2 linked regions of the Schizosaccharomyces pombe genome follow. Changing the gene in region 2 together with the main gene of any one other region gives a genetic interaction. Each region holds a gene or a part of one and is shown on either strand. Other genes may lie near its edges.

Evidence for each region.
Region 1: of ogm2 (region 2) and phx1, extra expression of one rescues a mutant of the other (dosage rescue), as found in Schizosaccharomyces pombe (one study listed by BioGRID).

The regions. Positions count from the first base shown.
Region 1 is NC_003424.3:2,451,072-2,458,611, forward strand, and holds phx1 (DNA-binding transcription factor, stationary phase-specific Phx1), read right to left. Parts: upstream 5,448-7,540; 5' UTR 4,477-5,447; coding exon 1,648-4,476; 3' UTR 722-1,647; downstream 1-721. Other genes in the region: trp2 (tryptophan synthase), read right to left, coding at 6,587-7,540. UniProt on the Schizosaccharomyces pombe protein: Trnascription factor that regulates the expression of the homocitrate synthase (HCS) lys4.
Region 2 is NC_003424.3:3,311,597-3,316,694, forward strand, and holds ogm2 (protein O-mannosyltransferase Ogm2), read left to right. Parts: upstream 1-1,825; 5' UTR 1,826-2,044; coding exon 2,045-4,264; 3' UTR 4,265-4,304; downstream 4,305-5,098. Other genes in the region: SPOM_SPAPB1E7.08C (transporter), read right to left, coding at 1-739.

The sequences.
Region 1 (7,540 bases), 860 kb from region 2:
CTATATTGACGTTCAACCGTTTCATGTCCAAAACTATAGTGTAGTTTGAAGAAGTAAACTACGTCATGCGCTAAATATGTGATGTGGTTATATATTGCAGTAAGTATCGCTATTTACTGGCTTGCTACATATTGTTCTTCATTATTCGGTAAACAGTGGAAGAAGAAGGGCTGGGCTGGCTTACTTGTTCTTGTTAGTTGATCGATTGGTCGCAATGTTCAATCGATATATGGAAGGCGTTTCTTTCACTTCTTTTTCTCTTTTTTGGCTTTCTTATTGTTCGGAGAATTTCCGTATCTTAGAGTGTTTCAGTATAATCAATCATCTATCTAATCTGGTGTGTGCTGCTTTAGCTTCAGCTTATAGGCATCAGCAAAAAACAACATCACCTTCAAAGTAGGCGCCCGAAATCATTGTTCATATTTTTGTCCTATACTTTTGTACTAACTGATAAAAATTATTTTATAGATATTAAAAGCAAATCTTATATATTTGTCACCTCCAAACAATTTTTTTATTGATATTCTCCATTCATGAAACATAAATTCATTCTTATAATAAAACAAAATAAATTTTAAGAAAATGAAAAAAATATATATTACGAGCTTAGTCTAAATACATTCTAATATACATCTTTAAAATAAATTTTCTAATATTATATCTTAACAATTATTACTTTGGTTCATTCAATTCTTTGCTCATCTCAAAAAATTATCTACTAGTGAAATGTTTATTTACACAGAAAATGACTATATATGGCATGCACCTCTTAAAAAAAAGGCGGACAGCTTCGTTGATGGATTATGTTTCAAAGAATCTAATTCTACTAAATTAACTCATAATGCTTTCAAAATTATTATAGTTTATGTGCAAAAACTGTGATGCTGAAACGTTCCCGCTGGAAAGGAGAAATAACGAAAATAATAATCGTCCTAAATGTCAAATTAATAAAAAAAAAAACATGAAAATAAAGTAATAATATACATGAGGAAAAAGAAATTATTCATAACTTAAAAAGAGAAATAAATGGTAAATAAAAAAGTTTAAAGTCGCCAAAAAAATATGTGTCGGCTAAACATGCAAAAACTCAATAATCCAACTCACGCTCGTGGGTACGATACTGTTCAAACTCCATTACATTTTTTCAGTGGAATTTGGATTCGATCATTGACGGAGTTTCTTCAAATGAAATGCTAGGATCATTAAGTATTGCATACACGATACAACAATATGTAATACCTCCTATCGCTTTGGAACATAAAATAAAATAAAATTAAAGAAGTAAAAAAAACATAAACCATACATAATCGTATATGAAGTGCCTTGTAGAGGTCTTTTATTTTTTTTTTCGCATCAAAGTTCTTCCCAGACAATAATACATGGAAGCACAATTTTTTTCCATGGAATTGTATTTTTATCACCAAATTAAACATTATTCAAGAATACCTTGTATAATATAGATCAAAAATTAATCCTTTAAACCTTTTAGAGATATTGATGAATTTATAAAAACGTAAGCGGTCATAAAAATACAAACGAGGCATGTAATTTTCAAGAGTTAAACATCTTCTCGTTATCAAAAGAAAACGAAAATAAGCAAGCTTCAAGCGAGTTTCAATTGTACCGTTAATCATCATATCACAAAATTTACTGCATGTCCGGAGAAAATTGTTGACCACGAAGTTTCTGAAAATCTATACCAGCAGAAGGAGAGTAAACATCCTCAAATGGACTACCACTTTGGTCATGAGATAAGTAGCCCGAAGCTCCGGGTTGCGACGCATACACACCACCGCTACTACTTTTCTCAATTAAATTACTATCCTGTCCAGCAGATGATGCTAAAGGTATAGACGGTGTTTGAATGAATAACCGAGGAGCAACCCCAGCAGAAACAGATGAATTTGTACGGGCTTGCGCGTAAACAGACTCTTCAGATGGTACTTCAAATCCATACGACGGGACAGAGTTCTCAGTAGCAAGGGAGACATCTCCAAATGGTACCTGAGATAACTGTTGACTTGGTGCATTCATCGTGGTGGAAATTGAAGAAGAGCCAATGCCGCCAAATTCTCTGTTTTGAGTCGTAAATGGGACGGATACGTTTGTGTTCATTGACCATGAATTTGGAGTGAGACCACCAGTTTGTGAATTGGGAAACTGCGCTGCCATGTCTTTTATTTCCGTGTTAATACCTTGTGTATTTGGATGCATCACAGGTCGGCTTGGTGAATTGGATGCTCGAGGAAGTGAGCCGACATCGGATGGTGCCGATAAAGGATATGATATATTAGATGTGCCAAGCTCACCAAACTGCGTGTTATCAAGATTAAGCGCTAAATTATGGTGCGGATAAGCAGATGAAACTGAAGGCTCATAAGAGTTTAGTCTTGTAGAACTTCCTTCCAAAACATTAGCAGATTTCATTGCTTGAGTAATAGGAGACACAGATTGAGCATGCATAAGCCCTTCAGTATTAGTTTTCGGAGGTAAAAGATGCTGAGCCAAATCCTGTCTAGCAGGGGTTGAAGTGCTACGAAGCCTTTTAAACTGGCTTTTATTGCCATATTCAGAAGAAGTGTCATGAGACAATCCCTGGATAGGAGGGTTTCTTCCTTGATGATCAAATACAGAGCTATCAGGTTGTCTAGGAAGTTGATTAGCCCATTGAGGGTCCAAAAATTGGTGAGGATTAAGACCTTTTTGAAGGCGGATTACAGACCCCAACTCTGGCGATGCCCTTCGAACCCGATCGAGCATTTGAAACATGCTAGTAGCTCTTCCCATCAAAGAATGTAATAAAACTTCCGAAGCCTGATTACCCTCAGTAAAATCCGTACAATTTCCCTGTCCTTCGGAAGTGATCATGTGAAATACTGGTGGAACACTCAGCTGAATATCCATTTGAAGCCAATATTCATTTGGTGCCGGTTTATCTCGACTAGACGCAGTTGCACTCAACTCATTTAACAAGGGCTCCTCTACTCTAAAAACGTGTATCGACTCAATGACAAAAAAAGAATATTCAATACGATACTGAATCCCCTGGAATTGAATCAAATATGCAAATAATTTCTTTGGCGGAGAGTAGAAACACATTAAATCCTGAGGAGAGGCTCGTAGTCTTTTCCATAAACCAATTACTAGTAATGTACAAGAAAAGTAGTAAAATTCCGAATCATATGAGGTCGGTTCTGAAGAAGTACGCATGTGCCCTGTTGCCATATTAGGAGGACGAACAGGCCCTGATGCTTTGTATGATGAAGGCTTGGAATGACCGAACATTCTGTAACCCCCAGAACTAGGGCTCACTTCTCTAGGATAGGAGTAAAGATCTGACTCTGGTTGAGGCATACGGATGCCTGTAAGTGGAGTAGCATACGAAGAGGGTGGAGATTCTACGTCGAAAGCTTGATTTGATACCGACATAGCATTTGGGATTGCGGAATAAGAAGAGGCAGAGTATTTCCTTTGACTTGAGACAGGAACGGCATTTGGACTTAGACTATTGTAGTATGTACTAGAAAGAGACTGACGGATCGGAATGTCTGACTCTGCTATGCATGGCTCCATGGAAGATTGCATAGGTCCACTTTTCATATAAAAGTTTCCTGTTTTTCTAGTTGGTTTAGGCAATAACGTGTTCGCATACTGCCTATTAGCTGCTATTCCCCCAACGTAGGGACTGGTAGGTGAAGTAGACAATACTTCGTGCGCAAATGCTTGTGAAACTTTTTGATTTAAGGAATCCAATTCTCTCTGCTCACGAAGGATCCTTTGTCTTTCTTCTTCTTGACGTCTTGAAATGAGCTTTGATTTTGCTCTTCTGTTTTGAAACCAAATAGTTACGCTACGTTCCGGAATATTCAACTCGCGTCCAATTTTTTCCCTTATAGCTGGAGGTGGATTAGTATCTTTGGAGAATTCCCGAAGCAAATAAGCAAGTTGATCTGCAGTAAGGCGCTGTTTTTTGCTCTTTGGCGCAGAAGTAGATCCGCCGCTCTCAGGAGTACCACTTTCGTGAGCGACATTCTCCTTAGCTTTCTCAACAGATGTAGCTTCAACAACTTCATTTTGCTTTGAATTAGCAGGTTCCGACTCAGATTTAACAATATTAGGTTGAACTGGCGATGGATTCGTCAATTTCGAACTATTCACATTATCAAATGAATTATTATCTGCAAAACTCGGTGCATCCGGTTTGGGTTTCTCCTGTTTCCAATCTACTTTGTTTTCGTCAAATTCAGGAGGAAAATAATTAGGATTGGTAGGATTTTGCTGTTCCCCTTGAAGATGCTGCTCATACGTTGAATGGGGTAATTGCATGTTATTATCAGATGGAAACTGACCGAGAAAAGAATCCATGTCATAGTTGCTCAAGGACAAATTCTCCGGGAGCATTGTAGGTCGCTTCTCAGAATAATTAATATTGTCATTAATTTGACCACCATTTTCTGGGTTCGAATAACTACGCATATTGTTCTTAGAAATAAAATGAAATGAAAATAAAATCCTTATGAGAAATAAAAATTTGCTTCAAAAAGTATGCCAAGAAATGCAAATTGAATGGTGACTTTGGAAGATTAATTAAAGAAAGCTCAGAGAAATAAAATGATGTAAAAAAAATTAAATTGAAAGAAATTCCGTGGAATCTCTGAGTACTTGAGGAGACGCAAAAAACGTGAACCTGGTACCCTCGAAATATGGGGCACTTATGAAACCCCAGCCGCTGAATTTATTGTAATTAAAAACTTATCCTATCCAAAAAAAAGTTTGACCAGAAGAAAACCCTAACGAAATAAATTTGATCCCTTCTTGGAGGGGACTTCTCTCTTTAGCTTTTGTAGCAGAGATTGTAGCTATGTTCAGATACATAAGCACAGTGGACAAGCAATACCCAAGCTTTAAAGTCTCCAAGTAGAAATAATTAGTACGCCTTCTAGATCTTGAAAGAAACTGATTGACGAAAACTAAGAGACACGACCCTTTGTAGACAGAGGCTATCGATCCCTGGATATCTCACAAATGTCAAAACAAATAAAAATTGACTAAATGAAGAGATGAGTTGTCAAATTTGCCTAAAAATTAAATAATAAAAGTTTGCTAATTAAATGATAAAAAATATTGCAAAATTAACAATATAATTATTCCCTTCTCTTTCCCCAATTTTTCTTTCCCTTTTTTGTTATTAAAAAAATAAATAAACCAAATAATTAAAGATCCGAATGTAATTGAGATATTCGTTAACGTTCACTGCTAATAGATCGTTGCTGATTGCTCCTCTAAATCTAATGCAATAAAACACAACTTGAAATATCGTAAAGAGATGCAATTTCACTCCAATTTGATCCTTGCAAGAGCCTAATTAATTTCTGTCCTAATTTAATGAATTAAACAGAATGCTTATGGTTTCATAAATAATGTAGTTTTTATATGGTTGATGTGGTGGTTTTAATTCACATATCGCTCTTCACTTAACTAACCGAACAATTATATTACGAACTCTAACGTACTACCTTGCCTTAGAAACGACGCCCCCAATACATATTGGTAAATCCTTTAGTAAAGTGAATGAACGATCGATTGCTTCTAATGAGCAAGTCTTTGTTTTTAAGACCTATTATTTGAAGGATACTTTTGTCGAATGGGTACATCTAGGGTCATATGTAATTCATAGAATATATAGATAAATCATAATTTTGTCCTCAACTTTACTATTAACTATGTGGGGAATTGTGGAGAAACACTAATGTTACATTTACTGTCTAAACTGTAAGCGAGAATACTACCTATCTGAATATTGTAATATAAAAACATAGAAACATTACTAAATTTTTAAAAATTTGATCTGTACCACTTGTTTGATTTTATACTTTTTTTTCAATTTATTCTACGGGTAATGCTGTTTTAGGAGTGCGAACTTAAGTAATTGTAATTGGGAGTTTTACCATAGTTCAAAGATTTGTGACACTTTTTATTATTCAGTGCTAAAGACTTGAGTGGTCTTATTAGGCGAATATACAGAAAGAATTTTATTTTCTCTCCATAAACTGCTAACTTCAATCTGGAAGATTTGCTAATATACCAAAGATTAAAGCTTATGTTAATAGACTATGTCGCGACTCTAAAAAGCCAAAACCATATAAATTGAAAATACTACGACATCTTGCTCGTGCTGATAAATTGTTTTAAAACATTTTTTGCACTTGCATTGTAGTGTAAATAGGACATGATTCTCAAAATCATAGACTAAAGAAAACCGCTTTGTTGAATGTTCTTCTTCAGCATACACATAATTCTCTTAAGCCTTTGAAAAATTAGCCTAAGAAATTAAATCCACAGAAAACCTTTATTAGGTAAATAAGTACAGTATTATGTACAGGTTATTACATGACTACAACGCTATTTAAGGCTAGTAAATAGTAGAAGCAAAATTGAAATGATATTTATAGATAAAAAGAAATACACATATGTTTTGGTATAAAAAAGTTTAATCGCATGCGATGCTTGTATATCTATAGATCGCAACTCCGCTTAAGTTTACGGAGCCTTAATATAAATCAGAAAATCGTGAGTAGAACATTGCTTAAAAGCGAAGGTCCCATCCAATTTTAGGACCTAAAATAGGAAGTTGTTCAGCTACGCTTTGAACATCCTTGTCACCACGACCTGAAATGGTGATCACAATATCCTTATCTTTAGGTAACTTTTTAGCAAGCTCCATTCCACCATACACAGCATGAGAAGATTCCAAAGCGGGAATGATACCTTCAAGATGACATAGAGCGCGGAATCCTTCTAAACATTGAGCATCAGTGACAGCGATAAACTCTGCGCGATTGGTATATTTAAGTTCAGATAATTCGGGTCCCACACCTGGATAATCCAATCCAGCAGATATAGAGTGAGTATCTTGAATTTGTCCATCTTCGCGTTGCAGAACATATGTTCGAACTCCATGAAATACACCAACTTTTCCCATAGTCAATGTAGCACTATGTTTGGGGGTATCTACACCATCACCACCAGCTTCACAACCCAACATCATTACACTTTTATCGGCTTTGAAGGGAGAAAACATTCCAATCGAATTGGATCCACCACCAACACAAGCAACAACTGCATCAGGAAGTTTTTTACGCTTCTCTTGCATTTGCGCTTTCGTTTCCTCGCCAATGACACTTTGGAAAGTTTTAACAATGGTAGGGAATGGATGAGGGCCAATTGCAGATCCAATTAAATAATGAGTGGTGTCTATTTGTTCGACCCACGCCTTCAAAGCTTCGTTAACAGCATCACGAAGGGTCTGTGTACCTGAAGTAACCGGAACGACTTCAGCTCCCAAAAGACGGATGCGAAAAACGTTGAGTGCTTGACGACGACAATCTTCTGCACCCATGTAGATAGTACATTTCATACCAAATTTAGCGGCACAGATAGCAGTAGCAACTCCATGCTGACCAGCACCAGTTTCAGCAATGATACGGTTTTTTCCTAAACGTTTGGCAAGAAGAATTTGCCCAATACAGTTGTTAATTTT
Region 2 (5,098 bases):
TGTCTGCACGATGACAGACAGATTCATCGTCGGGACATGAAAAGTTAGAAATAAGACCCCATGATACCAAATTAGCAATCACTTGTCCAATGGCCCACCAGAAGGACATGACTGTGAGGAGCCACTGGTGAGACGAAGGTAAGGCTTCTAAAAAGATTGCCGAATCAACAGGCAAGTTACCACCCACACCAAAACTCCATAAAGCATCAAAAACACAAATGGAAGCAAAGTTAGGAGAGGCGCCAGCAATAACAGCGAACACACCGGTAAACAGAAATGTAAGGTTGAAAGCCCATCGTCTCCCAATTGTGTCAGCAGAAAGCGACCAAACCATGGCGCCTACCAATAAACCCAAATTTTGAGACAACGTTAAATAAGGAGCACGACCTTCAGCAGGAGGGTGTGGTCCATCCACTTCGTCGAGTCTCATTAAAATTAAAGATGTGCAGACAGGCCATATATTGTCAGACATCCAACCAAAGCCTGCAACAAAAAATAAATACCATTGATATCTGCCAAACCCAATTTCGTTCATTGCATTACTCAGGATACGGGATTTTGCCAAATAAGTTTTGCTAAAGTCATTACTGTCGAATAAATCGTCATCAGATTTGCTGGGCTGTATAGTAGCATCAGCCAATTCTACTGGATATACGAGCTCGGTTTCAGAAACATCTTCCTGCTTTTTGGACTCCGTAGGAGACATATCATATAATCTTGGAGGTATAGAAGAACTCATTTTTATACTGTCCAATTTATAAACATAGACAATAACAAGAAGGAAAATTAGTTCTATAATTTATATGTAATTATCAACGCAGAAACATTAACCAGATGTTATGAATGACTTCTATGAACACTGTGAAATGGTCGAAAAGGAAGGAGAAATGAGGAATTGACGCAAACAAAGAGGAAAATAGACAGAAAAGAAAAAGAAATGTAAAGAATCTCAATAAAAATTCGATAAATCTTACACGAAATACAGGTGCAAATACCTTTCTACCTAAAGATCATTAAAGGGAGCTTTCAGTCAGTCGCTGTTTGATTTGTTTCGATTCAACAAAACAGCTTGAAAGATATGGTAAAAGGAAGGAAGCTGCAAACGTAAATTTGACCTTAGAATGGTGTACTACTTCCATATTCACAATGTGTGATAAGAATGAGCTAATAAGGGATACTAGCCTGCATATCAATATCGAGTGGCAGTAAGTAGTTGTGCGCTAACCATCTTAGCAAATTCGGTAAAAAGCAGTATTTAAAGTCAGAAAAAAATATTTTGCTATTAATGGATTTCATGAGAAAATAAAGATATTGGTTTATTTTTGAATTCATAATGTTTTCAGTACCTCGATAATATGATGGAGTTCCAATATCATAAACTACTGTTAGCACTTGTGGTATAGAAATAACGATGTTAACGTGTTATTGTAATATCACTTTATATTTAAGAAGATATCATTAATTACCCTTAATAAGAATGCAATTTCTGTAACAAACCGTGGCGATTGTAACAAATAGTAGGCATACTTCAGAGTCAGTAAATAAAGTACAAGCATTGCTGGTCAAAATAATAAGACATATTATTACTAAAATATACTCACTAGTTTATGTGGTACACCTGCGATTTTTTCTGACTTCAATGTCTAAACATCGGTGCACTACGTTAGCAATCTATAGGGATAATCAGTTTGGATTACCCTAAAAAGACTTTGCATTACTTAAAATTCATAGTTATTTAAACTCTTAAAAATTGTTGGTCTCTTCGCTACACTTCTGTATTAACATTGAATTACGCAGCGATTGATACATTATTATTGCTTTCCTCAGCCAACATTTAACACTCTTTATTTGGACTTGTATTTTGTTGAGAAATTAGAGTCGAAAAGGACATCTTTTCTTCTCTAGTGATCTTTTTGTTTTCTTTTGGTATCGATCAAGTTTTGGGCTCGTTAAATTGTGTGTGTCCTGAGAAAGCAAACTCGGACTATAGGTGCATTAGCTGAAGTAAAAGCTATATTTTTGTTTGCTTGTTGTACATTGTAAAATGTCCTATGAACAGCTTCATGCTCAGTCGGGTCAGCTTCGCCAGCGCTTTCCTTCGAAGCATAGTGAGATTGAGGATGAGGTAGCAAATGAGAAGGAAGAGTTAAAAGACGCTACCAAGAGTGCTTTGGGTGAAGTTAAAACCAATAAGAAATATTACATTCTTGGTTATTTTCTCGTCCCTTTACTCTTAACCGTTATCGCTGGTTTTGTTCGTGTTTGGAAAATTGCCGATAGTAATGTTGTTATTTGGGATGAAGCCCATTTCGGCAAGTTTGCCTCGTATTATTTGAAGCATGAGTTCTATTTTGACGTTCATCCACCTTTGGGTAAGATGCTTAACGCTGTTGCTGGCAAATTGGTTGGCTATGATGGTAGCTTCGATTTCAGTTCTGGTGCTACCTATCCTGAGGATTTAAATTACAAATTTATGAGACTTTGGAATGCTGCGTTTGGAACTCTATGCATTCCTTTGGTTTATTTTACTGCATTAAACTTTAATTATTCGTTTCTAGCTGCTACATTATGCACTTTGATGGTAGCGTTGGACAATCATTTGGCTACCATCAGCCGCTTCATTCTATTAGACAGTATGTTACTTTTTTTTATTATCAGCACATTTTTCTGCTTGTCTAGATATCATGTTTATCATAAGGCTCCCTTCACCTTTTATTGGTTTAAATGGCTCTTTTTGACTGGTGTTTGCATTGGCTGCGTTTGCAGTGTCAAGCTTGTTGGTCTCTTCATTACAGCGGTTGTGGGTCTTTATACTGTTGATGAGTTGTGGTGTTTATTGAACGATAAGCGAGTTACTTGGAAGGCGTATGCTGGCCACTGGATTGCTCGCGTCTGCCTGCTTATTTTCCTCCCTATCCTTATTTATGCCTTTACTTTTTGGATCCAATTCGCTGTTCTCTACAGATCAGGACCAGGTGATGCTCAGATGCCTTCTCTTTTCCAGGCTCGCCTTGAAGGATCTCCTTTGACCAAGAATCCTATTGACCTAATGTATGGCAGTAAATTCACATTGAAGAGCAGAAATCCAACTGGTGCACTTTTGCATTCTCACGTTCAAACGTATCCTGAAGGTAGTGAGCAACAGCAAGTTACTGGTTATCATCACAAAGACGGTAACAATGAGTGGATGTTTGTACCTACTCATGGTGTGGCCTATAACTATGAGGAGAACGATCCTATGAATCCTATTCTTAATGGAAGCGTAGTTCGTTTAATTCATCCTTTTACAAACCGTAATCTTCACACTCACAAAATCCCTGCCCCTCTGAACAAACGTATGTATGAAGTCTCTGGATATGGCTTGGGTGACGTCGGAGATGAAAAGGATTATTGGATTGTAAATATTTTGTATGATACTGCTCACAGAGATGCGTATAACGTACGCTCTCTTTCTACCGTCTTTCAGTTGTACAACCCGGTAGTCGGCTGCTATTTGAGTTCATCATCTTCTAGTTTACCTTCATGGGGTTTTGGGCAAATCGAAATGTATTGTGATCCCGACCCCGATCCATCAAATACTGACACTCAATGGAATGTTGAAGAGCATATTAATCCTCGTCTTCCTGAAGGAAGTATTAACGATTATCCTTCTTCCTTTTGGTCTGATTTTCTTCACCTGAATCGCGCCATGTTACGTGCTAACAATGGTCTTATTCCTGATGAAGATAAATTAGATGCCCTTCGCAGTGAAGCATATCAATGGCCCTTCCTTTTAGCAACCTTACGAATGTGCGGATGGGGCGATAACCAAATCAAATATTTGCTGGTAGGGAACCCCGTTGCTTACTGGTTTGCAACTTCTAGCTTAATTGTTTTTGCATTATTTGTTGTGGGAGCCGTTTTAGCTTGGCGTCGTCGTGTGCTAAGATGGTCTCAAGAAGCTTGTGATACTTTCCATTATGCCGGCATTTATCCATTTTTGGGCTGGTTCTTTAACTACCTACCCTACTATATTATGGGACGTGTTTTGTATGTTCATCACTACGAGCCTTCGTATGCCTTATCGACTTTCACTGCAGCCTTCGTTGTTGACTGGTTTACTAAAAAGATGCCTAAGATTGTCCGCGTAGTTGTGTTTATCTCACTTTATGCTATAATTGCCGGAGTCTTTATTTATTTCAAGGATGTAACCTTCGGCATGCATGGACCTGCATCCGACTTCCATCGCCTTCGTTGGCTTAACTCTTGGAATGTTCATGATTAATTTCAACTTATTTAAAATAATATATAACATTCAATTTCTCTGTCTTTTATCTTAATTGGTGCTTACTTTGAGTCGTAGCTTACTGCTGTTTCGTTAACAGTTGACTGTCTTTTTTTAATATTGATTTTTATTAATTTTTTGTCTTTCTTTCAGCATCATCGTTCACGCCAATTTAGTGCAGTAAAGCTCTTATATTATTGCTGGGCAAGTGGATAACAGCAATGCAGAAAAGCTGTTAATCAATTTTCCATATCCAATACTGTAATCTGTAAAAGCGTGGATTATCTATCTATCCAATATATGTACAGGTTTATCTCTAATGCTTACAGTAAATTAGATGAAATTATCAAACGAGTTAAAACTCAAATCACATTTATGATGTACTTTTCAAAACCAAAATTATCAAATTACTTTAATACAAATAATGGTGTAAAGACTTCTACTTAAACATACTGTAAATACCCTCCATAGTCCTAATTTGCATGAAAATTTAAATATGAACAATAAAACAGATGAAATACAATAATCCTGGCTCTAAAAATTGCATATCCATTTAACCTAAGCTACTAAAATAACGTTTAATAAGTAAACACATATGGATAAAAATATGTGGGAAACTTCTCTTACAGTAAACTTCATAAAGTAAAACAAGCCACTGCCTTTTAGTTTTCATTCAATCTCCTGCTGCTCCGTAAAGTCTTTGGGATGAAAAAAACCTACAAACACTAAATAAAACAGCAGTGCAACGTAAAGAATGAAATATAAAAACTTGGTTTTTTATAGCAAAGGCAGGTCACGTGATTTAGCGAGCCATAGTATCTTTTTATGTTAGTC